Sus scrofa: one gene and its partners. The protein of the gene in region 4 interacts with the protein of the main gene of each other region in a pairwise test. Links are inferred from orthologs where the notes say so. Each region holds a gene or a part of one and is shown on either strand. Other genes may lie near its edges.

Region 1 (4,068 bases), on a different chromosome or scaffold from region 4:
AGCCTCAGCCCTCCGATGGCGTCACAACTCGCATCTGGGCTCAGAGGAGCCCAGGGACTGTGATTCTCTCAGAGTCAAGCTCACCCCTTCCTTTGCAGATGGGAAGCTAAGGCCTTGAAAGGCCTCCCCAGGTCCACCCCTCTCGGGACGCAGAGCTGGGCCAGAGCCCCGGGTATGACTCAGCTTAGGGTGGTCCTGGCTCCAGGGAGCCCCAGTGCGAATCAGCACCCCACTTACCTGGGGGAGCAGAGGGGCTCTGCTGAGGAATAGGGGCTCCGGAAGGCGGCCTCTCTCCTGGACCGCCGCCGAGGGACGGCCCGAGGGTCCCAGGGTCCCAGGGTGGAGCAGGCAGGGGCGGCCCCGGACAGCTGGCTGCTCCTGTGGCTCAGGCTGCGAGCCAGGGGACTACTGCCCTTTTGGGCCCCTCTCTTCCTCCTCCTGGCCTTCACCTGGGTTTCCACCAGCCACTTAGTGCCGCTGTGGCAGGACTCCTGGAATCTCTGTGACAGGTACACAGCACCATCAGCAAGGACAAGCCAAGGCAGAGATTCCCTAGTGTCCCCAGGCTGGTCCGACACGTCCAGGAAGCTGTTAGTCTCAGGGTGAGGGATGTAGATGAGCCCATGTGAAAGGGGCCACAGCAGGGACCCAGCCCAGAGCCCCCCAGGAGGAGTGCGTGGTCGCCGTAGGAACGCCCTGGCGGGGGGGGGGGGGTGTCTGCTTGGTCTAAGTTTAAACCCTCTTTCAGGACACGGACTGACCCAGACTCAAAGGGGAGGCCCAGAGACCACGTCTGCCCCCAGGATACTGTGACCTGATCGCTCTCCCTGCCTCGATCTGCCCCGCTCAAATCCACCCTCCCCCTTGCTGCCCAGACATCATTTTCAAGGACCGGCCTTAGGCTCAGAGATTTCGCAAAGGGTCCAGAAACAGCCTCCCTCTCCTGCACCTTCAGATTCCCGGTCAGACCCCAGGGAGATGCCCCCCCGCCCCGTGTCCACACTCACAGCTCCTCGCCTTCCTGGATGACACCTCCCCACACCGCGGCCCCCAGTTTGGAGATACACCCACTTGGAAGGCCCAGGCACATGTCACCCGCAACACCTGTGGCATCTTCCTGGGCACATGTCTCACTGGATGCCAGATCCTCTCAAATCTACCTTCTGAGAAGTTCTTGAAGTTGTTCACTCCTCTGTATGGCCCGGCCACCAGGCCCCCTTTGGGGGTGAGTCTGCTTCTCACCCGCATTCCATCAAGTAGCTAAAGAACAAGTTCTGACAGGCTAACCGGACCCCATTCCCACTCTGTTGAAAATTCTTCCCACTGGCTCCCTGTCGCTCCTGGGAACATCTAAACATACTCAGCATGCCGGTCCCCCTCGCCATGTAATGTTCCATCTTGCTCTCTGTCCTCCAGCCATATCCAGACTGAGTTCCTGAACGTTCTCTTCAGCATCATGCTCTCTCTCAACCCTAGCCTATTTCACCTGCCTTGTACACTCCTCCTTCCCCTTTCCTGGGTGAATTCTATTGGAGTCACCACCTCCGGGAAGCCTTCACTGACTGCAATTCTTTTTGGTATTTCCCCCACCATTTGCTTGCCATTTTCTATCACAATAGAGCTCTAGTGTCTTGTCTTGTGAGGCTCTGTTTGCTCCATAACACCGTTTTCATTCACTTGTTCAGCTATTTGTTGAGCACCTACTATGTGCCAGGAACTACTGGGAGTGCTGGGGACACAGCGAGGAGCAAGTCCAAGTCCCTGTATTCTCGGTGTCTCTATTCTTGGAGGCAGCCATTGTCCAGCCTCTAGGAAGCCCTCCATACCTGGACAGGGTCAGCTTTACCTGAGACATGGCACCCAAGGCGTTCTTAGCTGAGCGAGCTGCAGCCTGGAGGCCCTGCTGCCCTGGTTCTGGAGTTTCCAGGCGTTTCCAGGAGGGGCCTGCCCCAAGGTTGAGGCTGACTGCTCTCAGGGGCAGCCTCCTTTGGAACTGTCTGCAGAGGGATCCCAAGGCCCCACTGGAGGTATCCGGGTGGCTGACTGCAGGCTGTAGGACCTCGCTCTCCTCCAGCTGCTCCTGGTTCTGGAGAGATCTCCGACGCATGGAGACCCCCACGCTTGGCCACCGAGAAGACATCTGCCTGGCCGAGAGTCTGTCCTGCCCAGCAGACCCTGGGGAGGGGATCAAAGGGGAGGTCAGCAAAGCAACGCCCCCATCTCATTCCCAGGCTCCACAGAGACCCTGAGACCCAGGGGAAGAGATGGGATGGAAGCCCATGGGGTGGGGCACTTGGCAACTGCAAGTGCAGTGAGGAGCATGCTTCCTGGAGAGGGAGGGCTCAGCGAGGCCCAGAAGACCACAGAGGCTGAACAAGGCTTGTGAGCAAAGGCATCTCCAGCTGCAAGTATCTGAAACAGCTGTCATTTCATCCCTGCCCCTTTCCTTTATCTGCCGCAAGCAGGGAGGGAGGATGTCAGGACCCGCTGTCGCCGAGCCTCAGCACTTGGCCCAGATCAGGACTAGCGGCTCTTCACGAGCTCGTCCGGACCCAACGCGCTCCGCTGGGCTGACCAGACACCCTGATTTCCACTTGCCTATACCTAGAAGCCCCACGTGCCGAGCCCGTCCTGACTAGTGTCTCCCCACCCCCTCCCTGTCCCTTCTGAACAGAAGCCCCACCACGCCTGGCCGGTACTCACGCAGCAGCGTCCAACGCTGACCCGACGCTGAGCACAGCTGCTCCTCGCCCACCCATCCGATTTGAAACTCCACGCGGATCCGCCCCCTCGCCCTTTCCTCACAGATGATTGGCTCCGTACCCGCCTCGCTGCTGCTCCGGGGGTCCGATTGGCTCCTGAGCTCGCGACTGTGAATCTTGCTATCGGATTGGCCCGGCGGTCCCCTTTCATCCCTCCTGACCTCGGCAGGGCTGCGAGACCCTTTGTATTTGAGGGTCCCGCCCGCGCTGCCTGCAGAATCCTTGTTCCGCGCAGATCCAGCCGCCCGCGCCACCTCCTGACACTCGGCCTGGGGCTGCTGGGTCCCCTCCTTGACTACAAAGGGTTCCAGTAGGTCTGACTGGGCGGGGCGGAGGCGGGGTCCCGGGGTCCTAGCGGTCCCTCCGATCCCCCTGGAGGTTTCGGCGGTTTTGTCACAAAGAGCCTGGGCGGGGAGCTCGGAGCCCTGGGTTCCTGTGGAAGTTTTGTTTCAAACTTCCCTCGTGACCCTCTGCCTTCCTGAGACAAGGCACTGCCCCTCTGTTCCTCAAACTTGCCACCCACGCTAACCTCCAGGAAAACCCATCCTGCACCAGGGGACAGGGTGCGCTTCTCCACCTCCTATACGTACGCCCCCCACCCCGTCCCAAGGACCCTCCCCTCCACCCAGTTGAGTACCTCTCCCTCCCTTTAGCATCCAAACCGGCTCAAAAAGCCGCCGTTTAGAAGTGGGGTTCTCGCACTAGGAACATCATGTTTGGGGGCCCAGGACCCATCGTGAGACAGCCCCGCCCCCAGCACACACACTTGTGTAACTGAAGAGTTTCCTAAAATGATACTTGACTATATGTGAGGTGCTTTTATATTTTATTTCCTATTTCATTTTTCAAAATGCTGATGACAACCTACTTCCTTTACAATGGCTCACTGAGAGTGGTGAGCTGCGGTTTGAAAAATGCCATTTTGTTGCGCCTGTTCAACCTCATCCCCTAGTCGAGTTGTTTCCCAGGCGTCGGAAGTACTGGTTCCCACACATCTTGTACACTTGCTGAGTTCGTTATTGTAATTAGGGAATTTAATTCATGTCCTCTACCAATGAAATATGAGGGGGAAAGAAGAGTTATTTTTCTAGAAACTAAGTTGAACGTTTAGCGGGAAAGTCTCACTGAAGATGCCATGCTTAGAAACAAATTATCTCCAATTAGATTGTCTTGTTGCCATTGTCCATCTGTACCTGTCCCGTGCCTGGCACTTACAGCAGGGGCAGGAATGCAATAGATACAATAGCTTTAAGCGTGTTTCCTTTCTTTAGTGTTCCTTAATCCTCACAGCAAAGCTATATGAAGC
Region 2 (4,049 bases), on a different chromosome or scaffold from region 4:
GCAGGTGTTCATATGTTCAAAGAAAAGCCCCCTGGGCATAGTAAGGCTGCTGCTTATGGCTGCTTTATAAAGGATGTCAGAAAGATCTTCCTATTGGGATGACATCTGAATGGAGGTCAAAGGGAGGGAGAGAGCAAGGAGAACAGACACAGAGAAGAGCATTCCAGGACCAGGGAATGGCCTGCCACTGTCCCACCGGAGAGAGCCAGCAGCTTTCTAAAACCACAACTGAGCAGAGCACAAGCGCCACCACATAATGGTTATCACAACTCAAAAGGGATCAAAATAAAGGCAGCAGCATGTGGACTGAATGGAAATCAGAAATAGGCTTCTATGTAATTCCAAAAACTTGAATCCAGACTTACCTCCTCTACCAGCTGGACACCATAATCCCTCTTAGATGGCTGGATGGTCACACCCCTGCCATTGACAAGCTGGGTTAAGTCAATAGGTTGTGTAGGATCAACTCGACCCAAGTCAATAAGATACTGCAGTCTATTGAGACTCAAAGGCTGATACTGGTGTCGGAAGCTGCAGAACAAGAAAGTTGAAAACGCAGTCAGACTTATCTTCCTGTGAGATCCAAGGCTTTGTCCTATGTTTTCCTCCCTCAATTTAGATGGTTTAATGAAACTCCTGAGTATACTATAAACATGTAATACTCCTTGAATTTTGGCAACAAAACAAAACCATTAAGTACTTACTTTGTTTCCTTAAAAATTACTGGCCTAAGCATTTACTTCACTCACACATATAAACAAATACTGAAAAATTTAACACACTATCTGAATTATTCACTAAAGGAATTCAGGGAGTTCCCGTCAGCTCAAGGGTAATAAACCTAACTAGTATCCATGAGGACACAGATTTGATCCCTGGCCTTGATCGGTGTGTCAAGGATCCAGCATTGCCATAAGCTGTGGTGTAGGTCAAAGACAAGGCTAGGGGAGTTCCCGTCGTGGCTCAGTGGTTGACGAATCCGACTAGGAACCATGGGGTTTCGGGTTCGATCCCTGTCCTTGCTCAAGTGGGTTGAGGATCCGGCATTGCCATGAGCTGTGGTGTAGGTCACAGATGCGGCTCGGATCCCGAGTTGCTGTGGCTCTGGCTGGCAGCTACGGCTCCGATTTGACCCCTAGCCTGGGAACATCCACATGCTGTGGGAGCGGCCCTAGAAAGGACAAAAAAAAAAAAAAAGAACTCAAAGTAATGGTAGTTATCATGTATTGGGTGATGATAGAGGACCAGATTTTTATATATATTGTTGTGCTAAACAACCTCAAGAGCAGGCTCTGTAAGTATCTCCATTTGGCAGGTCTGAGTGCAAAGTCTGGCTTTTTTTTCCCTACTAAATCAGGCTAAGTTTCATTACCAAAAGTGGGTCACAGCAACAGGAGCAAGTTTGCTTCAAGTGGATTTAAATTTCTACCAAGCTATTTTTAGGTGATTCTCAGTAAGAATTAGAGATTTTCAGGTTGAGAAGCAAAGCAAAGTTACCTATGTCCTTCATTAAAGCCATATTTTGGGATTCGAAGGTAGAATGGAGTCTGGCCTCCCTCAAAGCCCAATCGGGGCCGGGTTCCTCTCTGCCGTTCTCCCTTGTGGCCTCTGCCACATTTTCTGCCTCTTCTCCGACCTCTTGGTCGTCTTTCCTACAAGGAAAGAGGAATGTTTTATGATCCACACACGCATCTGTTTAAATCATATTTCACCTTTGTGCTGTATCTTTTGGTTATGCCCTTCATTCATCCAACCAGCTAGCAATAGCCAAATTTACAAGGTTCCAGACACCATCCTGGCTGCCCTGAAATCCAAATACTCAACACTAACAGCTTTGCCTCTGAAGACGTAGCTGATTCTTGCAACCAAGTTGTGTTTCAAAGGCAAAGTTCCAAGAATGAGATGAGAAAAAGGATTCTATGACAGGCGGGAATTGAAGAAAATTCTAGAATTAAACATCCACGACTAGCAAAATTTATGTAATATTCAAGTGCATTTATTTTGAAATTAATTGTAAATATGCCACTGTTGCCCATATATAGTATTTTATTTAACTTAATTTCCTGTCACTTCACGAAATCAAGGAGTTCTTAAAGTGACAGTACGTCCACTAACAGCTCAGAGATTTACAGAAGAAACATCGAACATAGTATCTTTCCTATAAAGATAAAGACACAATGGAAAAAACTTCATTAAAACCCGTCTTAACGAGACAGTCGTTTTTAACTCCTGCGATTTCGCTCCTCGATAGTAAAATAATTATGCTCTTAAACCCGAACCTTGCAGAGAACTGAAACCACGTGGTCAGGTTTTCCCACGTCACTCAAGGAGACCTGGGGCCCGGCAGCCCCTCCCTCCTCCCAGAGCCTATGGACTCACAACCCTCAGGACCCCGCCACCGCGCCGACATCCGCAGCCTTACCGGTTTCCTGGAGCCCGGGTTCGGCTTCAGGTTGGCCAGACTCACACGGGGAAGGGCTCGCAGCAGGTCCAGGGCCCGGGGCCCACCGCCCTGCACGGGGCCGCCCATAACCCGTGCCGCAAAAGCCGCAAGGGCGCCGATCCACGTGATCTGGGACGCTGCTTTACGGCCGCGGCACCGCCCCTGTCGTGCTGTCAGTCCGCTGCGCCGCTTGCCGCGGGGCACACCGGGAGCCGGCTCCGCGTTGGAGGCAGCACGTGTCTCCCCATGTCTACCTCGTAGCGGCGTGATCCGGCTTTGTTTTCAGTTGGTTGGGGCTGGGCTATTTCGAGAGGTCGTGCCCCGACCCCGGCTCTGAATGTGCAGCGTTCTCTTGCGCTGCACCAGGCAGGCACTGAAAACGCTGTGTGTAGGAGTCCCTGGCCTGTGCTGTCACAACGTCTGGTCCTTAGAAGCAGGGCTGTCTCTGAGCTCCAGGTGGAGTGCAGAATAAGATCACCTGGACGCTGAAGCACTAGCTTGCGCTGGGCCAGTTGTATACACTATGGCCTGAAAAAAAGTTGTGCAATGTAAAGGTTGGAAGTTAAGTTTTATTTGGGGCAAAATGACTATAAAGTCTGGGAAACAGCGTTTCAGGGACCTCTGAGGAACTGCTTTGAAGAGGTAGGGGGAAGGTCAGTGTATACGATTTTAGTGAAGGGGGTACGTGCAATCAAGCACACGTTTTGGCAGACGTTTCCTGCTAGTCATCAGGAACAAATACCATGGTTAATGACTTTACGGCTTTTCTAGACAGGAGATGTAAAAATTTGGGTTCATAAAATCCCCCGAAAATATCTATGTGAAAGTTGTTCTGCCAGTTTTTCCCAGAGCACATTTCTGATCTCCATGCTTTCAGTATGTGTTGAAGCTCAGCAGCTGCAGTGGCTACTAACAATCCTAGGAGAGACAGATGGCTAGTGCCAATTTTTAGTTGGCACCAGTGAGATAAGAATACCTGAGGTCTAGGTATTGCAATGGCTGGCTAGTAGCAACTGTGAAAAAGACTCAAAACCCTGCATCCAGTCTGAGTGCCTCTGTTATGCTTTGACTGAGTCACTGAGATACTAACTCAAAAGCTGTTAATAATGAAGGAGCCAGGCTGAGTGCTTGGTATGTCAGTCACGTGCTGATTCAGCCTCATTTTGTTCAACTAAACAACTCCTCGTGGGGTAGATGTTTTATCACCTTTGACAGACTTGGCAGGGTTGGTAGTTGGACTAAGATCTCAGCAAGCCGCAGAGACAAGATTTGTACTTTGGCTCCTATTACATAAGTAATATTTTTTTATAACATGAAGCTGAATATCTGCAGCACAAAATACGTAACATTTTCACTGAATAAAATATGAGCTTCCCTATTTTTGTCTTAAGTGAGTGTAATATAGACCATGCTTCTTTCTTTTTCTTCTAATTTTTTTTTTTTTTTTTTTTTTTTTTTTTGTTTCACTGTCTGGGGTGTTGTTCCTGCTGTTCCTGTTAGTGTAAGTAAGAAATAACTTTGTGGAGCACAGCTACTTCCTTTTTTTTTTTTAAGGCCGCATCTATGGCATATGGAAGTTCTCAGGCTAGGGGTCAAATTGGAGTTA
Region 3 (4,300 bases), on a different chromosome or scaffold from region 4:
CCCTAGGCCAGGCACTGCAGCCATAGGCATGAGTGGCCCCTGCAGGGACCTTAGTCACAGAGCCCTGCTAGCTGCTTGCTCCTTCTACCCAAGAACAACACAGCAATCTGCTTAGGTGTTGGTGTTTTCTGGGTTTATTCCTCCTTGTTCCTTATTCCAAGTAAGCCTAGGCTTACTTCACTCCACATCCATGGCCTGCACAGTTTCTTCCACCAGCTCCAGGGTCAGCGGCATCACTGTCTGGGACAGGACAGCTGTGGTCCCAGGGGCAAAGCGATACTGGCTGGATCTGGGAAGAAGAGATGACCTCTCAAAATGGGCCCATCACGTGGTCAATCCTCTCTTTGCAGCCCATCTCCCTTGCTGCCACCCTATCCTCTCCTTTGTTCCCCCATCTTCCATGCTCTTACCTTTCTGTGGGCTTTGTGGGAGAGCTCAGTGTTCGCAGCAGCTTGGCACCGGTCCCCATGATCACACATGCATCCACATTGCCCCCAGAGCCCAGGTCACTTAGGATCCCTGCAGTAATGGCTTCCACCAGCAGCCCCTGTGCTGCCTCCAGCTGTAACAATGCATGTGTGAAGCCCTGACGGACACTGTGGTATCACCCTTAGGCTATAGCCTGGAGATTGCTGATCTCTTCCCTGCCTACTCCACAGCCACAGCAACGGCAACGCCAAATCTGAGCCGCATCTGCAATTTATACCGCAGCTCGTGGCAACACCAGATTCTTCACCCACTGAGCAAGGCCAGGGATCGAACCCACATCTTCATGGATCCTAGTCAGGTTCGTTACCACTGAGCCATGACGGGAACTCGGGCACTGCTATTTACCATCTGCTCTCACCTTATACTCCCATCTCCACCTCAAGCTCCTCTCCCCGGGTGTCAGTTTCCCTCTCTCCAGAGACCCGGTGTTCCCAATGCCCCATCTTCACAAACTTCTCTGAGTCACACCTGTGGCTCTGGTTCCAGGGGCCTATTCACTCACCCAGTGTAGTCTTGGCCCCCAATCCCAGGCTCATTTCCTTTTTCTTTCTGGGCCTTAGGCACCTATGAAGTGACATATGCCTCTCTTTCCATCCACCTCAAAACAAGACCCAGACTCCAGACCCCACCTGTTGTTCTCTCCTCCCTTAGCTCTAAATGGTCCTCTCTGAGTTTTGACCTCTCCATGCAGTCCAAGCTTTGGCATTGACAGTGGTCTGTTGGAATTGCACTTCTCCACCCTCGCTCCACTGGCTTCTCCTCCTGTACTCAGTCATCACCTCTGAAAAGCTTTTCCTGACCTCCGGATTAGGCCAGGGTACCTCTGTGTTTCCCCAGCTCCCAAGTGCACTTCCCACCAATGCAATGCCTAGTGGGGCGCAGATGTCACTCACAGTCATGTTGGGCTGGAACCGGTCTTCTAGCACTGCCAGGGCTGCATCTTGGCCGGAGCCTGTAGACAGGAGGGGTATCTGAGGTCAGCCGCGGCCGCATGGTCGCGGGAGAAACGGGAGGCCAGGATGGTATACGTGGGATTCGTGGGGAAGGGATGGAAGGGCTCACCTAGGGCCGTGAAGGGCAGACGGCTGTAGGACCCATGGGGGTGCACGCTGTAGAGCTGGGGTCCTGTGAAGTCTATGCCGCCCACGATTAGCGACGCGCCCACATGGCCCTGGTACCTTTTCCGCAAGTGGGCGCAGTCAGCCAAACAAACCAGGACCCAGGTCCCTCCCCTCCATGGTCCTGCACCCGAGCCCCGCCCCTTCCCGTGGTCTGGAGCCCCATGACTGACATTGCTGCTTCCGGTTGCCTTCTTAACTCCTCTTAGGCTGACCTCTTCCGGTCTCCCGGCACCTCGCAGCCCTGTCCTTCCTCTTGTCCCACCTCCTATCAGCCCCACCTTCCCTGCAACTGCCCCTCCCCAGGGTCGTCTTAGCCCAGCTCCAGCACCGGAAGAGCTTCTGGCGTAACATGCGAGTGACAGTGGCCACGCGCGGCTCGCGGCCGGTGGATAGTGCGTGTAGCTCTATGTTGGATGCCGCCATCCGCGTGGTCATCTCGGCGTCCGCGGCTACTCCAGCCCCACAGCAGCTGAGGGTGAAGGGAGGGTCCATGTGGTCGGGGCTAAGGTGTGCGGAGACCAGGGACGGGGAACTAAGGGGCAGTTCTTGAGAGGAATGCTCACTAGATTTTGGGGGCGATGAAGTGGATCTTTTCGCAGCTCTTGTCCGCCACGACCGAGTCGTTAGTGGCCCGCGTATCCGCGCCCAGGATTACCCCGTCCTGGAGAAGAGGGGAGAAGCCGTTAGGTCATTGCCCACTTCCTATTCCCGGCCGCCCCTCCACGCCCCACAGTCACAACTTCTTGCTCACCTGGAATACAAGACCTGCAATGGTGGTCCCCGTCTTGAGTGCGTGAGGGACCCGGAACCCAGGGAGGGCGCGTTCCAAGGATGCATTTCTGGAACGGAGGGAAAAGTCTCAGGTTTCTTTTCTTATGGGATCCCCCTCCCCCAATCACATTCTCCAACTCCGTCCACGTTTCTCTCACTTCTCCATGTAAGCCTCGGAACCCAAGTCGTCGTCTTACTTTTAAAGATCCTGGTTCTCCCACTCCCAGAGACCCTCACTGAGGACCTAGGCAGCTGGGGACCAATCATCCCCCCACTCACCTCTGGCAGTTCTCAAAGGAAAAGCCCCCTAGGGGCTCTAGCGCTATCTTCTGCATGTCCAGGTGGGCAGGGCAGTCCAGGGGTATGGAGGTCAGAGGAGTAGGACCAGCACCAAGCAAAGAAGGCCACAGCCTTGTCCTTTGTCCTTGTCCTGCACGACTGAGCTTAACTGCTTTCGCTTTCACATTTCCTCACAGCATGATGGCTCCTTTCTGCATCCTCTTTCACTTTCACCTTCACCTCTGGTCCTATGCAGCTTGGCAAGGGTGAGATGTCCCTTGCCTGGTTCTCCATGTTGCTCCCAGGCCTCTGTCTGATACAGCAACAAATACCTCCCTTCTGGCCATTGTCCCGCCTGAGCCCTGAGCTCTGCCTACTCTGACCCCAACTCTAATTGCAAGTCCCAATGCCCCAAGCTGTCACACTGACCAAGTCTCTGATCTCATTGTTACTGGCCTGCCAACAGCATCAGCTGCCTATTGTCTTTTATTACTCTCCTTCTCCCAACTCCTGCCTATTTTGCTGCCTTAGCCTTTTCCATCAAACCTCAGACTCCAAGGCTCAATCCTTGGCCAAGGCAATGCCGATCCTTCCATCATCCCTGTTTCAGGTGCTGTTTTCTCTCTCTCAGGAACGGTGCCATGGCTGTTCATCTGGTGGCCCATACACATTCTGGGCTCTACCCATGGCCAAGCCTTTTTTCACTTCCCAAATGACCCTTGATCTATCCAGATCTTTCTCCTAATTACTGCTTATCTCAACTAGCAGTATCTCTCCCCTAGATTCTACACTGGCCTCCCTGGTTTCCCCACACTTCCTGCCCCTCATCTTCCAGCACAGGCTACACTCTACCCTGCAGAGACGGGGCTTTTTACTAGATTGGAAATCTGGTCATACTCTTTCCTATTTATTTATTTATTTATTTATTTATTCATTTATTTATTTTTGTCTTTTTGTCCTTTTTAAAATTTATTTTTTATTACTTAAATGACTTTATCACATCTGTAGTTGTATAATGATCATAACAATCTGATTTCACAGGATTTCCATCCCACACCCAAGCACATCCCCCCATCCCCCAAACTGTCTCCTCTGGAGACCATAAGTTTTTCAATGTCTGTGAGTCAGTATCTTTTCTGCAAAGAAGTTCAGTCTGTCCTTTTTTTCAGATTCCACATGTCAGTGAAAGCATTTGATGTTGGTATCTCATTGTATGGCTGACTTCACGTAGCATGATAATTTCTAGGTCCATCCATGTTGCTAAAAATGCTGGTATTTCGTTCTTTTTAATGGCTGAGTAATATTCCATTGTGTATATGTACCACATCTTCTTAATCCACTCCTCTGTTGATGGACATTTAGGTTGTTTCCATGTTTTGGCTATTGAAAATAGTGCTGCAATGAACATCGGAGTACATGTGTCTTTGTGACTCATGGTTTTTAGGCTGTGCCCACGGCATATGGAGGTTCCCAGGCCAGGGGTCTAATCGGAGCTGTAGCTGCCAGCCTACACCAGAGCCACAGCAACGCGGGATCTGAGCCACCTCTGTGACCTACACCACAGCTCACAGCAACGCTGGATCCTTAACCCACTGAGCGAGGCTAGGGACAGAACCCACAACCTCATGGTTCCTAGTTGG
Region 4 (4,034 bases):
GAAATACTGGACATAGAGCATACCTGGCCACAGCCAACAATATTTACTTTCAAGGTTTTTACACTAAAGCATACACTCTTTTATCTAGCAATTCCATTTTTAGGAATTTTTACTGATATACAGATATAAACAAAGATTGTGTTAGGCAATTTAGAACAGCACTGTTTATAACAGTTACAAGTTGGAAACAGCTTAAATGTCCACACAGTACTGGTTAAATAAACTATGGTTGGCAGTTCCCATCATGGTGCAGTGGCAAGGAGCCCGACTAGGATCCATGAGGATGCGGGTTTGATCCCTGCCCTCGCTCAGTGGGTTAAGGATTGCTCCACTGTGAGCTGTGGTGGAGGTTGCAGATGCAACTTGGATCTGGCTTTGCTGTGGCTGTGCTGTAGGCTGGCAGCTACAGCTCCAATTGGACCCCTGGCCTGGGAACCTCCATATGTCGCAGGTGCAGCCCTAGAGAAGACCAAAAAAAAAAAAAAAAAAAAAAGACAAACATAAACTATAGTTATATCCACACTATTGAATATCACACAGCCATTACAAAGAATTGAGCAACTTTATACCTACTTCTAAAAATCAATTTTCAAGCTATGTTGTTAAATTTTTTTAAAAAAAAGGAAAGTCCAGAAAAATGTTTAAGATATTTTACCATAAGAAGAAGTAGGCACATACACGTTAAGTGGGTATATTCATAGTATATATAGGGAATAACACAAAAGGAATAAGCGAGGGGAGATATAAACTTTTCAGCACACTTAATTTAGGTTTTGATATCTTTTGAATTTTATACTAATTCATCGTTACTAATTATAAAAAATAATTCAATATAAAAAAGGTGTTTTGTAGTATAACAGAATAGGTGTAGCTTAGACATGAGACAGAACCTAATTTATTTTGTTTTTGTTTTTGGCTGGGCCCACAGCATGCCAAAGTTCCTGGGCCAGGGATGGAACACTTGCCACAGCTGTAACCAGAGCCACAGCAGTCACAATGCCAGATCCTTAACCTGCTGAGCCACAAGAGAATCCCAGAACCTAATTTTAATCCTAGCACCCCTACTTATCTACCTTAACCGAAGCCTTTGAGCCTGCTTGTTCATCTGTCAAATAGGGATCATGTATCTGAAAACACCCAGTAAATAGCAAGTGCTTAAAATAAAAAATTATCAGAAAGGAAATAACCAGGATGAACCTCAAAATGAACCAATATTGAGGTTCATTTTGAACCTCATTGAACTCACTGAAGTTCCTGTTGTGGCTCAGTGGTAACAAACCCAACTAGTATCCATGAGGACTCGAGTTTCACCCTGGCCTCGCTCAGTGGGTTAAGAATCCAGCGTTGCTATGAGCTGTGGTGTAGGTCTCAGACTGGCTTGGATCTGGTGTGGCTGTGGCATAGGCTGACAGCTGCAGCTCCAATTTGGCCCCTAGCATGGGAACTTCCATATGCCACAGGTACAGCCCTAAAAAGCAAACACAAAAAAAGAACCAATGTTTAGAAGAGCTGCCTACTCCATGTCAAGTACTGCACCTGACAACTTGGTTTTCAGAATATTCCTGTGATATGAGAACTCTTGAGGTTAATGTTCCTATGAAGTCAATAAGATATGCAATCTTACTTGACAGATGAGAAAACTAAATTCCACGCTAAGGAGTTTCCTGATCTCCTAGCAATTAAGGATTTGGTGTTGTCACTGCTGTGGCTCATGTTTGATTCCTGGCCTAGGAACTTCCGAGAGCTGCGGGTGCAGGAAAGAAAGAAAGGAGGAAAGAAGGAAGTCCGGGAGAAAGGGAGGGTGGGAGGAAGGAAGAAAGAAATCCCTTGCTTTGAGTGTAAAACATGAAAGAAAATGAAAGGATTCCTAAAGAATAAAGAGGCACTACAAGGATTCCAGAAAAGTAAAGCCCACCTGAGGAGATGGCAGTGGAAGTCGGGAAAAGACTACGGTCAGAGTAGTGGCTTCCGTGGACACTGTCACAGCTGCCTCATCTGGGAAGAGTCAGAGGAGGAGGCAGAAGCCAGTATGTTAGTGCCAAACGGATAAGGCTGCAGCTGCTGGACGGGCTGTGAAGATAACACGTTCCCTCTCCACCCTTGCCGGCTTAGACGTCTCAAAACACCTCCAAAAATCAGTGTTTTAAATCTCAACCTCAGAGATGCCGAGAATGGGTAAGATGAGGTATCCCCACAGAGGGGACAGGCCGGGGAAAAGCAGGAAGGAAAGGGACAGGGACAACTGAAGAGATGAGAGATGGCAGTCTCCAACAAGAGAGGCACTCACTGAATCTTCTCCAAAAGGTCTCCCGATTAAACTCCTTGGTAGTCTCCCGGGCTTCGCCGACTAGTGGGTTCGGCGTGTGGGCCGGGCCACCGCAAAAGGAAGAGCAGAGGTAAGCGGCGCTACCTGAGGCCCCCATTTCCTCCGCTCCCGCCGGGCCCTGCCGCCCTCCCCTCCCCCGACTCCCCCATCCCTCGCTCCCTGGTGCCGCCGCCGCCCTGGCCCGGCTTCTCCCTACCCACGCCGGTCCCTGTGGGGGTCCGTCTCCACTGTGTCAGCTCACCCCGCACTCCAGGAAGGAGCAACCGAAGCTCCTCTGCTAGGTGCCGGAGCTGCTCCAAAGGCACAGCCAGGGTGGGGACTGGAGCATCAGGGGGAGCTGCATTCGCCATCCCAGTAGGACTCTGGGAGCCAGCGTACTTAGCTGCCACGGAAGCCGCCTGAGCCGCACAGCAGTAGCCACTCCACTTCCGGGCGTCACGGATGCGGGTTCGCTTCCGGCAACAAGAGAAGCCGCCCGCCCCGCCCCGACGTGACTCCACCCCCGCGCCGGGCCCTGACCACACACGCAAGGCGACGCAGAGTTATTTCTTATTCATTATTCATTTATTTGATTAGTGGCAAACACCTCCGACAGAGGAAGCAGAGAACCCTGTGGGAAAAGAGGACCAGGAACTAATCAAGGGTAGTCAGGGTCAGGCCCAAGTTTGCACTGGTTCCCTGCCCCTCAAGTGGTGGCGCCCTTGTCCCCTGCTGAGTTCCAGACACTGTGCTAGGTACTTTACATGAGGTAACGTTAAAAAAACACTGGGTTCACATACTACCAAACACACCAGCTCCTGCCCTGTGGATCTCCTAGATTAGGGCTCTCTCTTCACAAAAGTAAATCAACCTTCTGCCTTCTTAGGGAAGGAAGGAATCATGGCATTATTTAGAGATTTTTTTCCTGCAGTCCATTATGCAGGAAATCAGTAGTGGGGAATCCCCCCACCTCCCAGGCGGCCAAGAAACAGCAGCTCCCTGAAGCTTGCCTACTAGTATTGGCCTTCCGCCTGTTTCGGGGGGCAGAGGCCTGGGCTAGAGCTGGATGATGAGACATGGCCTTCAGGAACTCAGGTGGCTTTTTAACTGCACTATGAAGGTTCCAAGCTCTGTGGAGTTCAGTGTCCACACACAACGAATGAGAACAGGTGTCACCAGTGTCAGCCAGGTCCGCAAAGGGGAGAATAATAAAGCTAGAGTGCCATATGTCATATGAAGAAAGTAGCAGGAATAAATCTGCCAGATGTACAGCAGTAACATAAGTAGATGAACAGGTATAATTTTCAAGTATTTTCCTTGACGGAGATGAGACCTGAAGTTGTGACCAAAGCACCGCTGCAGCAAACTCCAACACAGGTAAGCCATCAAGGGGATGTTAAAAAACACCAGCTGGAAAGAGCAGAACAGAACCATTAGATTATGAGCAAGTCCTGGAGGAGTTGGGTCTCACTAACACATTATTGGTGGCTCCTAAAAATATACTGCTTTCTCTCTTGGGAGTTAACAATCTGATTCATTATGTTTCAATCACACTTGCTTATAACACTTGCAATTTTTAGTTAGCTGTTTATTTGCCTGTATCCTTTCATTCACATTAAAGGCATTTTATTTATGTGAAAGCGGCAAATAATGTTTAAGTATATACAATACTCTTTTTTTTTTTTAGGCAGAGTGAGGGTGGATAGGGTATCAATATTTTCTCTTCCTA
Region 5 (4,159 bases), on a different chromosome or scaffold from region 4:
AAAGTTAACACCTGGACAGAGAAACTGGAAGGCTCAGGGAATAGGACATCCCCTCCAGCACACACATCTTTTTCTGCAGTGGCACTAATGCCCTCTTGGCTTAGATAATTCTTTGTTTGGGGTTGGAAGGGAGGGTCTGTCTTGTGCACTGTAGAATGCTTAGAGGTGACCCTGAGCTCTACCCAAAAACATTAGCCCCCAAACACCTCCAGGCGCTGCCAAATGGGGGAACAAAACCACCCTCAGTTGAGACACACTGCCCTTTGGTAACTGGCCATACTTTTTTTCAGATACGACACATTAAAAAAATTTTCCCACCCGCCAAAATAAATATATTTCCCACCTGTCTTCTAAACAGCCTTTCACACAAGATACATGGGCTTTAAAGATCCCTATACCTCAAACCCAAATATGTTCTGTTTCCAAGGCCAGGGAAAGGCACACTCACGTGTTGGCAAAATCTTTAGGATTACCACCAGGTCAGCCACATTGTGTCCTGTAGTCATCGTTCCCTTTTTATATGATCCAACTTGTCGGACTTCTTCGATTTGCTGTTGGAGAGAGAATTTCAGAAGAAAAACCTTAGAGCCAAGCAAGGCAACTTCCACACTACCAAGGCCACCCTTCCCTAGGACTAAATCATCAAAACCTCACCACTTCAAATGTCCCTGGAGCCACGATCAAGTTGTCAATCACATTATTTATTTTTGTCACCAAAGAAAGGATAGAGGCCTGAAAACAGCAGGAAACAAAAATACCATAAAGGTGAAACATGATAAGCAACTTCTCATCAAGTTTGAATGTTTTCCCCTAATCCCTGCAATACAGGCTCAATCAGTACCTACAACGGACTCTGAAAACACTCTGGACCCTTCTGGCTTTGAATATGCCAGAAGAGAAAACTTTGATCCAAAGATAGATGCCCCAGTAAAAATATAAATGCACACATAATTTGTTTATATCATCCCTGGTGCTCTCCCTCCACCCACAGTGAGAAATAAGGAGAACAATTAAACCCTCTGGGGAGGGCAGGCTCTGATAAGTGTAACGGCACCAGTAGTTATTTACTTCTCTACTTCATTCGTGAAATCTCAGGAGGAAAACTAACAGAATATACCTGCTCAGCTGAATTAGGAGCCAGGTCCTGATTCCTCTTCAGTAAGGCCTCACTGAAGGAAGTTTCATCAGGTGCTGGCTTGACCCGAGGAAAGGCCATTTCACACTAAACCAGAAATAAACAATTTTATACTACCCACCAAAAATAACATAAAATAAAGATTGTTTTTTCCTGTTGCCACAAAACAAAAAAAAGTTGAAAAGAGAAAATTCTAAAACACTTATTTTTAACTCCATAAAATATTTAAACAAGCATAGAAACTAGAAGAGCCATAATTTAAGCTCTCACTACCGTTACATTAACAGATAAACCAAAGATACAATTAACTGTTCAAAACAAAGATTCTAATCCTGTTACTACCAACTGTAGTCAAGGAACTATGTTCCCCACCCAGTTTACACTGCTTTTGTATGTAAAGCAATACAGGCTGACTCAAAACCCAATCCCACTCACTAACCCCCTTTCCTACTCCAACCACCATTTGACTTTATTAACAGGGAGACCCTAGGCTCCAGGAAACAAGTGAACTGCGGTCAAGGTACTCACCAAATAGAAATCAAATGGGATATGTGGCACAAACGGCCTGAACCTAAAAAATGAAAAACAAGTCAAATTATTCACCACAGAAATCAAGTGGTTTTAGCATAAAGGGGCCAGAACTCTCATTTAGGAGAGCACGGAAAGAATGCTTCTAAACCACAGCTGGAGCTCACAAAAGCAGGTAAGATTAGTCCGCTCCAAACACCCCATTTAGGTGACTGAAATGGAAACTAAGTGTGCAGAGATGCTAAAAACTGGCACTCACCCTCCTCCTGGGCCTCCTCTGGAACCAAAGCGCCCGCCACGACCACGGCCTCTGTCCCCCCTAGAAATGCATAAATACATTTTTAACTTGGTTCTCACCGCGTTGAAACGACCTCCACCATACCGGCCATATGATTTCAAGTTCGCTTACCGCCATCTCCGTGAACTTCCGTTTGGAAGCTAAGAGATCCCATTCCCACTGACAACACTTGCTCTCCATCCGTCCCAAGCGCCCAGCCTCAACCCCCAAGACCGCCTCCTTCTGGGTAATTTAATCACATCAAATACTGACGAGGTTCAGTGAGCCCTACAAGAAATGCCCCATAATTCCCGGGGCGCGCCAGCCCTAATACTTCAGAGACTAACGAGATTGCTCATTTATTCGTAACTAGTAAAAGCATCTAACGGCAACCCTATACGTCAAGCACTTAGCCTGGAGTATGAACGAGGCACGTTCAAGCCTTCTCAGTCTAGATGGTGGTCGGGGTGGGGAGGTGGTCCTCCTGGGAGGTGAGGACAGCCCCTCATCTAACCGCCCCCGCTCCCGCTTCCCCTTGCCTGGGCCCCACCCCCATCCCTGGCCCACGTTTCCCCGCCTCCGCGGCCCCCGACTTCCCCCACGCTCCCAAGCGGGAGTTCTCAGATTTCCGTGCAGCCCCCAGATACACGGCCCTTCAAGACCTCCGAGTCCTTTCAGCCCGCGTACCCAAAGTTTTTGGTCGAATACTCGAAACCCTTCCAGAGCACCCCACGACCCTTACCTCATGGCGTCCCAAAGTCCGAACAATGGAGGCCACACCAACCGCCCCTTTCCTCCGAGAAGCCCTCAACTGGAGAGGCGGCTTGCCGGCGTATGCCAACAAACCCCGGCGTGATTGGCTCCCGCCGTTCTGCACCACTTATGCCTATTGGTTCACTTCAGCAAACCGGGTTTATGAACCAATAAAAAGCCCCTACTATGTCAGGGACCAGCCAATAAGAAAGGACTTGACAGGAAAGACTTTTTTTTACGGACACCAGGGGGCATGGTGTAGAGCAATCAGGTTGGCTAACACTCAGAGAACTTTCTATACGATTTTTGAAAAATATCTTGCCGAGCTAGCAGAGTGGCGCAGCGGAAGCGTGCTGGGCCCATAACCCAGAGGTCGATGGATCGAAACCATCCTCTGCTAGGAGAGCTTTTCTTTCTTTTCCCCCCTCCTTCCCACTCCAGGACAGAAACTCTTGTTTTTCTAGTAGATGTAAATACCGCACTCCTATGTTTTCCTCCTTAGAAGCTAATTTTTGCCAAAAGCAGGCAAATGGCGCAAGCAGGCGAAATGGAATAGGAAGGGACTTAGGCAACTATGACTACACGTCTGGATGTAGTTCACAGAGACTAGAAACTTGAGGCAGGAGAAGCGGATTTGAATATAATAATTGAATCGGAGAGGAGAAATACTGATGTGGAGGGGCTAGAAGGCAAACTGAGACAGCCTCAGGAAAGAGAGTTCAGATGAAGAGAACAACGGAAATGACTGGAGAAAAAGACCAGACCCATCCCTCTTGCCCAGTATCCCCTCATTTCTCCTTTCCTCACTCGGCAACCTCCCTGGTGGATTTTACTCTTAAACGAAGCTTCACAGCCACATATAAGGATAAACTGCTGTTGCATTTAAATCAATCATATTACAAGTTGCTCTTTGTCCTGTTTCTCCCTCTTCTTGCCTTCTTTTTCACTGACTAATATTTATTATTCCTTCCCTGCCTCTGTCAATAGAAAGTTACGCACTTTTTCTGCTCCCTCAGTGGTTACCCTAAAAATTTCGTGCCTCCTTGAAAGGGCAGAGTCTAATTTTACCCTCCTCGTGAAAAATGCAGGAGTAATTTAATTCAATTTACCACACTGACTCTAGAATTATATATACTATTGTGTAACTTTTAAGTATTACATTGACGTATTATTTACTACAGCAAAATGCACAGATCTTAAATCTACAGCTCCAATATTTTTGAATAATGTATTCTGCCCTTGTAATCACCGCATAGATTAACATAAAGAATATTTTTAGCACCTGACAAATTTGGCTTATACGCCTTTGCTCTCCCCCTGGAGGCAAACACTATTCCAATTTCTCTTATTGTAGATTGGTTTCGTCTGCTCTTCACATAAATGGACTCACAGCCTATGTGTTCTTTTTCCTCTGGCTTCTTTTGCTTGGCACATTTCAAAATTTTTCCATGTTTCTGCATTTATCA
Region 6 (3,239 bases), on a different chromosome or scaffold from region 4:
TCCTCACAGATGCTAGTCAGATTCATTTCCGCTGGGCCAACAAATTCTTGTTAAGGTGGCCAATTTGAGGAAATAGTCAGGTCAGCCTTCTACCTAACCTTTCAGCCCAGACTGCTCAGTATGTTTTCAACCAAGCAAATTCCAGTACCTCCCCGAGTTATCTTTCAGCTGGTGGGGCATTTTCTCCCAGTGTCTTTCAACTGAGCTCCCCTAGCATCTATCAACTGGGGAAGAGGTCAATCCCCAGTATCTTTCAACTGGGGAGTAAGCAATATAGACACTATCAAATAAAACTCAGGATCATGAACCATTAATTGGGAAATCAGAGAAGCAGGAGGGACTTACCCAAATTCACCTGGCCTCTCCAAGGAGGGGGTTGGGCACAAGAGACCTCTTCCTAGAGTTCAGGTGAAGCAGAGAAGTCTGCTCTGGGTCCCTTCATGGTGACCAAAACTGTTAACTGAAAACAAATAAAAAGAACAGCAACAACCAAAAAACCCCCGCACAACCTAAAACTTGAAAATTATGCTTTATTTGGTGGACTTTCTGAGGACTCAAGGCCAGGAGGCAGCCTCGCAAATAGCTCCAAAGAGCTAAGGGAGAAGCCAGGATATACAGGAGTTTTCCAACAAAAACCAGGTAGTCAGACCATCAAAAGAGTAGTGTTAATTAAAGAAAACCAGACATCTCAAGTTAATGAATTTAGCACTTTTCAATGTATGGGAAGATGCCAGAGTCTGGGCTCACTTAAATCATTCCTTTGATATGCACCTTGGCTTTCCAGAGCCAGCATCCTGTTTGTTCCCAGTCTCAGTTCCCTCAGTGTGCCCCCGTCGGGGTGGCCGCAGTGGCTCAGGGCTTGGCAGCAGGCAGCCATCTGTCTCCACCGCTGGGTGGGCGGCAGTATTGGCTGATGGCTTCACGACTGCAGCATCCCTCGCAGATTTGACAGGCGTTTTTCATTCACAGCTATAAAGGATCTCAAACCTCAAGAATCCACTAAGTTCCACCTAGTAAGGCGCCGGTAGTACCCTTCTCCGAGTCAGGCTCCTCCAGGCGATTCCTCTGCCCACAGGGAGGGTCGGCAGGCCTGTGGCCCGCGGTCTGGAAGGGCGGCCCTGGGGCCTCGGCTGAGACCTCCCAGGGCTTGGGCCTCCGCGGGAGCTGGGACGCCGTGGGTTCGCTGAGGGTCGCCGCGACAAGAGGCCTCTCCAGGCCCGGAAGCTCCTGGCCCTGCTGCACCAGCTGCAGAAGACGCGCCAGGGTCACCGAGGCCGGGGCTGACTTCTCCGGTACAGGACCTCCGCCGCTAGGGCTTGAACTGCCTGGCTGTTCCATGACAGGCTCCGAACCTGCGCGCTTCTCTTCCGGGAGGGATGGATGCAACCATTGTAGGAGGAAGTGAAGGGGGGAGCATAGACCGTACCAAGCAGCCCAGAGAGCGGGGGAGCACTGGACGACCAGCTCCGCGAAGAAACGCCTCGCTCACACTTAAGGCTTACCCTGCCCAAGAGCCTCTAACGTTGAAAGCTTTAGAACCCCGAAGTCTTGCACAGCTGACACGGAGATATAGGTAAAAAGACACGAATTTTCACAAATGCACGGGCATCACGAACATACCGGCTTTCATGCACACGCTGAAGTGCATAGAGTACAGGGATTATTGCATAGATGCGTGGCAGGAGGATAACCTCCATCCGGGGCTCCTGCAGCACCAGACAGAAAATAACGGAGGAAATGTCTGCAAGTGGTTTCAGAAGAACTGGGAATAAGTGATGCCACGGCTCTCTCCCCATTCCCTGCCTTCAAGACAATTCCTGGTGTTCCCATAGTGGAAGAGAGAAGATGAAGGCGGACCAGGCTGCTACAGCTTCCTTCCACCTGCTTAGGAAGTCAGTGTCAATAAAGCTCAGGTTTCTAAGTTTATCAGAAACTAGCCAGATCCGACACTCACCACCTTAATCAAGTGAGCAAAGCTTAATTAATAGTAATAGAACAAACTAGCATCAGATGTCTCCTGAAGTGATGCACTGAGAGGGGCTGCAGGTGTAGGAACACAGCCTCACTTCTGTAGTGTTCCTGCTAAAAATGTTCACTCTGAATCTAAACTTGAGGAAATGAGTAGACAAACCAAAATGACAGACATTCTGCAAAATGACCTGGACACTTTATAGTTGTCAGTGTCATAAAAGACAAAGACAGAAGGAAAAAGACTGAGGAACTGTGTCAGACTAAAGGAGACTGAAAAATACAAAGTGTGATCCTGGATTGGATCTAGATGAGGGGAAAATCAGTTACAAAGGACATTTTAACCCTTGGGAAATTTTGAATTGACCTGTGTATTAGATGACAGTGTTATCATCTAATAACAGATGATACAGTTTAACTGTATATCAGTGTTAAATTAAGTACACAATTGTGCTCTGGCTATGTTAGAGAATGACCTTGTTTATAAGAGATACATCCTGAAGTATTTATGGGTGAAATGTCACAACGAAAAAGGGAGGGGAAAAAAAGCAAATGTGGAAAAATTGCTGGAATTGGTGGATCTAAATGGTTTGTAACTTGTTGAAATTAAAAGTTAATAAGGGTGACCTTGAGAAGCCAGTCTTGAGGAAACTGACCATACCAAGTCTTGTATAATAAGGAATTTGAGGACTTCCCTTGTGGCATAGAGGGTTAAGTATCTGAAGCTGGCACAGAGGGTTAAGGATTTGGAGCTATTCCTGCCGTGGCTCAGGTCACTGCTATAGCATGGGTTTGATCCCTGACCCCGGAACCTCCACATTGCTGAAGGCACAGAGCCCCCCCAAAAAAGAAGAATTTGACTGGTCTTTGTCCCTGGCATTTCCCAAGTATTAGAAGTGATATTCATGGTGGGCCCTGACAGTTTATGCCAAGGAGGTGAGTCATGGTGGCCCCTAAGTGGTTTCAGGATTGGTGCTGACCAGTCATGTGATTGGAGGGTTGGGGCTTTGACTCATGAAGGGTCCAGGAAAGAGGCCTGGAAATTGAATTCAGTCTCCAGCCTATGATTTATTCAGCCATGCCTATGTAATAAAACCCCTAAAGCAACTCTGGACACAAAGCTCAGTGGAGCTTCCTGATTGGTGAACTCATCAATGTATCAGGAGGGGACATGCCCTGGTTCCAGGAGGAGATGAATGACACAGAAGCCCTGCATGCAGGACCCTCCCAGACCTTGCCCTATGCGCCTCTTCATCTGGCTGGTCCAGCTG
Region 7 (4,005 bases), on a different chromosome or scaffold from region 4:
CATTAACTACCTCATTTTTCTCATTCTTCCTTTCACTGATTGACTCTATTCGAAATCTCATGTCTTATTACAGGCCCTAGCATAACAGCCCTTACTGTGTGCCCAGCACTGTATACTCATTAATTTGTTAAATCCTTCATCAATTTTATACTGTTCTTGCCATTTTACAGATGAGGAAACTGAGATAAGAGATTAAACTGTCTTTGATTATTATACTGCAAGTCAGCCGCATGGCCAGGATTCCCTCTGAAGCTAGATATGCTCTCAACTATTAATATAAGAAAGTCCTGGAGGAGTTCTTATCATGGCTTAGCAGAAAGGAATCTGACTAGGAACCACGAGGTTGTGGGTTTAATTCGTGGCCGCGCTCAGTGGGTTAAGGATCTGGCGTTGCTGTGAGCTGTGATGTAGGTTGCAGACATGGCTCGGATCTGGTGTTGCTGTGGCTGTGGCATAGGCCGGCAGCTGTAGCTCCGTTTAGACCCCTAGCCTGGAAACCTCCGTATGGTGCGAGTGCAGCCCTAAAAAGAAAAAAAAAAAAAAAAAAAAATGAAAGGCCTGGGATGGACAGCCTGTACCTCCAGGAAGCGAGAATGCAGAGTTTCCTCGGTGATGTCAAGCACTTCAGGGTTGTAGATGCTGCCATTGTCAAACACCTGCTGGATGATCAGCCCAAAGGAGAAGGGGGAGATGTTCAACATGTTCAGCAACGTGGCTTCACTGGCTCCCACTTTGTCTCCAGTCTTAATCAGCTGCACATCACTCTGAAAAACAAGGTAGGTGACAGTTAACCCAGACATCCAGCAGGTCCACAGCAACCAAGCCCCCGCCACCTGCCTGGCTGGCACAGGCCAAGCCAGGCCCACTCACCAGGATTTCAATGGTGCCCCTGGAGATTTTAGTGGTGATGCCTAAAGCCTGGAAGAAGGAGGTCTTCTCAGGCCCCAGACCAGTGTTCTGGGCAGGTACAGTGACTTCGCATGGGGCTATGGCACCAGCACGGGCGGCAGCTGGCACCTGAACAAAAAGGACAAACAATGAGAAAACTTCTTTCCACAGCTACAACCTGAAAAAGATTGTCTTCTTTTTTTCTTGCTTTTAAGGAGCCAAAATTAATGATAAGGCCTCTTCAGCCAAGCTGATTCTCCCCTCACCTTATTGGCCAGCAGCATGTCCCTGATCTCAGTGAGGTCCTCCTTGGTGAACACAAAGCCCACGTTCCCCCGGATGTGAGGCAACAGTCTGCAAAGAGAAGTTTACAAGAGACGGTTAACTTTGAGCACCATTCTTCTCCAGGAAAAGGGAGAAGGATGGACAAAGATGCCCAGGAGGAATGACTGACTTCTCCAGGGCTGGGTTGTTTTCCAGGTGCCCTCGGATGGCCTTGCGCATCATGGTGTTCTTGCCCATCAGCACCACGGCTTTCCCGCGGAGAGACATGCGGATCTGCTGCATCTGCTTGGAGCCCACATTGTCTGCTCCCACAATGAAGCATTTCGGATAATCATCCAGAAGTTGCTGCCCAAACAAGCCAGACACGAGCAATGTTAACAGAAGGAAAAAGAAAGGATCAAGAAAAACCAAATCCCACAATCTCAAGTTTCCGTTTCACTCACTCCTTTTTATGCTTTTCAAATGTCTGAGGTTAAGACAATTCCTCCTACTAGCAGGCACCTGAGCTGTGAGAGCCAGATTTGCCTAAGATTTGCTTGTGGGGTATGAATGGTAAGATCATGTTTCTACATTCAACCCAAAGGTTTAATTGTAGCTTCCATTCTTAATTTTTCTCAATTAAGGCATGTTTCTGATCCACTAAAATGGCTGCATTAACAAAACCCAGTTTTGAAAATACAAAGTAAGGCAAACACAGCAAAACATTACTTGTAGAATTTAGGTTTCAAGTATGGATCATTGAAAAATTCCTTTAAGTTTTTTGTCTCAAAATCATGAAAAATGGAAAACATAATGGACTAAGGTCCACAAAGCTGCCTAACGCCTAAAGAGCAGCATGACCTGATGATCAACAATTCTGGGCAGCGAAGACCCACCTCAAGGCCACCCAAAAGAAAACATTCACTGAATTAGTTTCTTGACAGGATCTAAATCTGCAGCAACTTGCCTCTTTATAATGAATCATTCAGTGCCTCAGACTTCCCCAAAGATGGATACAAAAAAGTAAAAGTATGACCAGAGATCTTTAGAAGTACTCTTAAGAGCCATTTAACCTGCCTGAGCCTGTTTATCTGCAACACAAGGAAGCAGAGGAACGCTGACCTCAGGAAATTATTAAGATTAAAGAAGACTTGCCTAAAACGACCTAATTTGATGGTTGGCCACCTGCAGGCACTCAGCACCTGGCCGCTGGTTGTCCCTATTACTGCCCCGGGCAAGGCACCACAGTGGGCGGCCGAGACCTACCCCGCACTTACGATTATCTTAAGGAAGTAGTTGGACTTCCAGGTCGCCCTGTCTTCCCTGGGCATCACGGCGGTGCGTCAGGGATTGCCACGCAGGGTTTAAAGACGATGTCACTGAGAAAAAAGAGAGAAAATTCAGCATACTCCAACACGCGTCCCCACGGAGCGGCGGGCTCCAAACCCGAGGCCTAGGGGAGGAGACCACTCTCCCGCGCCCGGCGGCCCGAACGGGCCCTGGACTTGCCGCCAGCGGAGCCCCAGGCCAGAGAGGCCTGGACCCCGCGGCCCCCGAAAATATACCCGAAAGCCTCATTTCTCCCGCCGCCAGTCCCCTACGCTACCACAGCGGACGAACAGACCTCACACGAGGACGCCTGGCGAGAGGAGGGCTGTACGCCGGCGCGAGTCTTTTATATGTGAACAAAACAGCCAATCCAAAGCCGCAGACAGCGCCCCCGCCTATTGGCTGGCTTCAACGTCTGTCTGGAGAAGCTGGGTTGATCTATGCAGCCATTGGATGGTATCGCTGCCACTCCAGCCAACGGGACGCTGCCTTTAAACACGGTAGCTAAAGAAAGCACTGCTGTGTGTGGAAGGAGGTTTCTCAGAGGTGCTTCCCTCTGCTGGGCTGGAGCTGTTCTCGTGTAGAGAAGCTAGAGTTTGTGACCTGAGTCCACGTTTCCTTCTGTCACCTGGCCAAGTCGCAAGCTGAAGAGTATGACGTGGAGCTGAGAAATAATTGTACATGGTTGAGAAGCAGAATGGTTTCTTGTTTCTTCTACAGTTCTTCGCTCTTTGGAAACAAAGGGATGCTTTAAAACCTAAGTCTCAGAGTTTCCATTATGGTTCTACGGGTTAAAGACCAGACGTAATCTCCGTGAGGATGCCGGTTCCATCCCTGGCCTCGCTCAGTGGGTTAAGGATCCGGCTTTGCAGCAAGCTGCAGCGTAGGTCACAGATGCGGCTCGAATCCGCAGCTGCAGCTCCCCATTCCACCCCTAAAAGGAAAATAATAATATGGAGTTCCCGTCGTGGCTCATGGTTAACGAATTCGACTAGAAACCCGCATTCGAGTGCGGGTTTGATCCCTGCACTCCGTCAGTGAGTTAAAGATCCCGCGTTGCCTAGAGCTGTGGTGTAGGTCGCAGACGCGGTTCGCATCCCGCGTTGCTGTGGCTCTGGCGTAGGCTGCTGGCTGCAGCTCCGATTCGACCCCTAGCCAGGGAACCTCCATATGCTGCACGCCCTAGAAAAGACAAAAAAAAGAAAACCCACTTCCACTCCCTCTTTCCTCTGTTCCTATAGCACTTACACAGCACACTATATAATTTGTTACATTGTTTCGTGTCTCTATTTTTGCCTTATACCTGGCATAATAGGCATATGCTAAATATTTGTTGAAGAAAAGAATGCAGGGTTTGCAATCAGATAACCTGGATCCATATTCTTGTTCTGCCACTTGCTGGTTGTGTCATCTCAGGAAGCGATTTCACCTTGCTGACTCTGTTTCTTTATCTGTAAAATGGAGATAATAGTATTCACATTCTAGAACTGTTATGAGGATTACTGCGAGATATGTGTTAGGACA

The links.
Region 1: the proteins of CCNDBP1 (region 4) and PIMREG interact in binary tests that used the Homo sapiens proteins (3 or more experiments, as listed by UniProt). The two-hybrid records come from large-scale screens. The link is inferred for Sus scrofa from reciprocal best matches to the Homo sapiens genes CCNDBP1 and PIMREG.
Region 2: the proteins of CCNDBP1 (region 4) and MRPL15 interact in binary tests that used the Homo sapiens proteins (3 or more experiments, as listed by UniProt). The two-hybrid records come from large-scale screens. The link is inferred for Sus scrofa from reciprocal best matches to the Homo sapiens genes CCNDBP1 and MRPL15.
Region 3: the proteins of CCNDBP1 (region 4) and PSMB10 interact in binary tests that used the Homo sapiens proteins (3 or more experiments, as listed by UniProt). The two-hybrid records come from large-scale screens. The link is inferred for Sus scrofa from reciprocal best matches to the Homo sapiens genes CCNDBP1 and PSMB10.
Region 5: the proteins of CCNDBP1 (region 4) and ILF2 interact in a two-hybrid assay, tested with the Homo sapiens proteins (2 studies listed by BioGRID and IntAct). The two-hybrid records come from large-scale screens. The link is inferred for Sus scrofa from reciprocal best matches to the Homo sapiens genes CCNDBP1 and ILF2.
Region 6: the proteins of CCNDBP1 (region 4) and C7H6orf226 interact in binary tests that used the Homo sapiens proteins (3 or more experiments, as listed by UniProt). The two-hybrid records come from large-scale screens. The link is inferred for Sus scrofa from reciprocal best matches to the Homo sapiens genes CCNDBP1 and PEX39.
Region 7: the proteins of CCNDBP1 (region 4) and RPLP0 interact in binary tests that used the Homo sapiens proteins (3 or more experiments, as listed by UniProt). The link is inferred for Sus scrofa from reciprocal best matches to the Homo sapiens genes CCNDBP1 and RPLP0.

Annotation. Positions count from the first base shown.
Region 1 is NC_010454.4:50,900,438-50,904,505, forward strand, and holds the start of PIMREG (protein FAM64A), read right to left. Parts: upstream 2,802-4,068; 5' UTR 2,704-2,801; intron 2,176-2,703; 5' UTR 2,141-2,175; coding exon 1,847-2,140; intron 501-1,846; coding exon 238-500; intron 1-237. UniProt on the Homo sapiens protein: During mitosis, may play a role in the control of metaphase-to-anaphase transition.
Region 2 is NC_010446.5:77,073,011-77,077,059, forward strand, and holds the start of MRPL15 (39S ribosomal protein L15, mitochondrial), read right to left. Parts: upstream 2,813-4,049; 5' UTR 2,531-2,812; coding exon 2,423-2,530; intron 1,653-2,422; coding exon 1,498-1,652; intron 532-1,497; coding exon 366-531; intron 1-365.
Region 3 is NC_010448.4:28,544,796-28,549,095, forward strand, and holds PSMB10 (proteasome subunit beta type-10), read right to left. Parts: upstream 2,815-4,300; 5' UTR 2,717-2,814; coding exon 2,661-2,716; intron 2,450-2,660; coding exon 2,362-2,449; intron 2,272-2,361; coding exon 2,174-2,271; intron 2,080-2,173; coding exon 1,939-2,079; intron 1,668-1,938; coding exon 1,552-1,667; intron 1,442-1,551; coding exon 1,383-1,441; intron 563-1,382; coding exon 411-562; intron 290-410; coding exon 178-289; 3' UTR 115-177; downstream 1-114. UniProt on the Homo sapiens protein: The proteasome is a multicatalytic proteinase complex which is characterized by its ability to cleave peptides with Arg, Phe, Tyr, Leu, and Glu adjacent to the leaving group at neutral or slightly basic pH.
Region 4 is NC_010443.5:128,266,722-128,270,755, forward strand, and holds the start of CCNDBP1 (cyclin-D1-binding protein 1), read right to left. Parts: upstream 2,804-4,034; 5' UTR 2,677-2,803; coding exon 2,523-2,676; intron 2,348-2,522; coding exon 2,288-2,347; intron 1,996-2,287; coding exon 1,916-1,995; intron 1-1,915. Other genes in the region: TMEM62 (transmembrane protein 62), read right to left, coding at 3,389-3,715. UniProt on the Homo sapiens protein: May negatively regulate cell cycle progression. May act at least in part via inhibition of the cyclin-D1/CDK4 complex, thereby preventing phosphorylation of RB1 and blocking E2F-dependent transcription.
Region 5 is NC_010446.5:95,979,512-95,983,670, reverse strand, and holds the start of ILF2 (interleukin enhancer-binding factor 2), read right to left. Parts: upstream 2,810-4,159; 5' UTR 2,688-2,809; coding exon 2,683-2,687; intron 1,983-2,682; coding exon 1,923-1,982; intron 1,707-1,922; coding exon 1,664-1,706; intron 1,223-1,663; coding exon 1,118-1,222; intron 733-1,117; coding exon 655-732; intron 552-654; coding exon 449-551; intron 1-448. UniProt on the Homo sapiens protein: Chromatin-interacting protein that forms a stable heterodimer with interleukin enhancer-binding factor 3/ILF3 and plays a role in several biological processes including transcription, innate immunity or cell growth.
Region 6 is NC_010449.5:37,986,232-37,989,470, forward strand, and holds C7H6orf226 (uncharacterized protein C6orf226 homolog), read right to left. Parts: upstream 2,026-3,239; 5' UTR 1,339-2,025; coding exon 1,000-1,338; 3' UTR 511-999; downstream 1-510. UniProt on the Homo sapiens protein: May be a peroxin involved in the PTS2-mediated protein import pathway.
Region 7 is NC_010456.5:40,221,143-40,225,147, forward strand, and holds the start of RPLP0 (60S acidic ribosomal protein P0), read right to left. Parts: upstream 2,802-4,005; 5' UTR 2,777-2,801; intron 2,532-2,776; 5' UTR 2,484-2,531; coding exon 2,430-2,483; intron 1,519-2,429; coding exon 1,343-1,518; intron 1,243-1,342; coding exon 1,155-1,242; intron 1,018-1,154; coding exon 871-1,017; intron 765-870; coding exon 579-764; intron 1-578.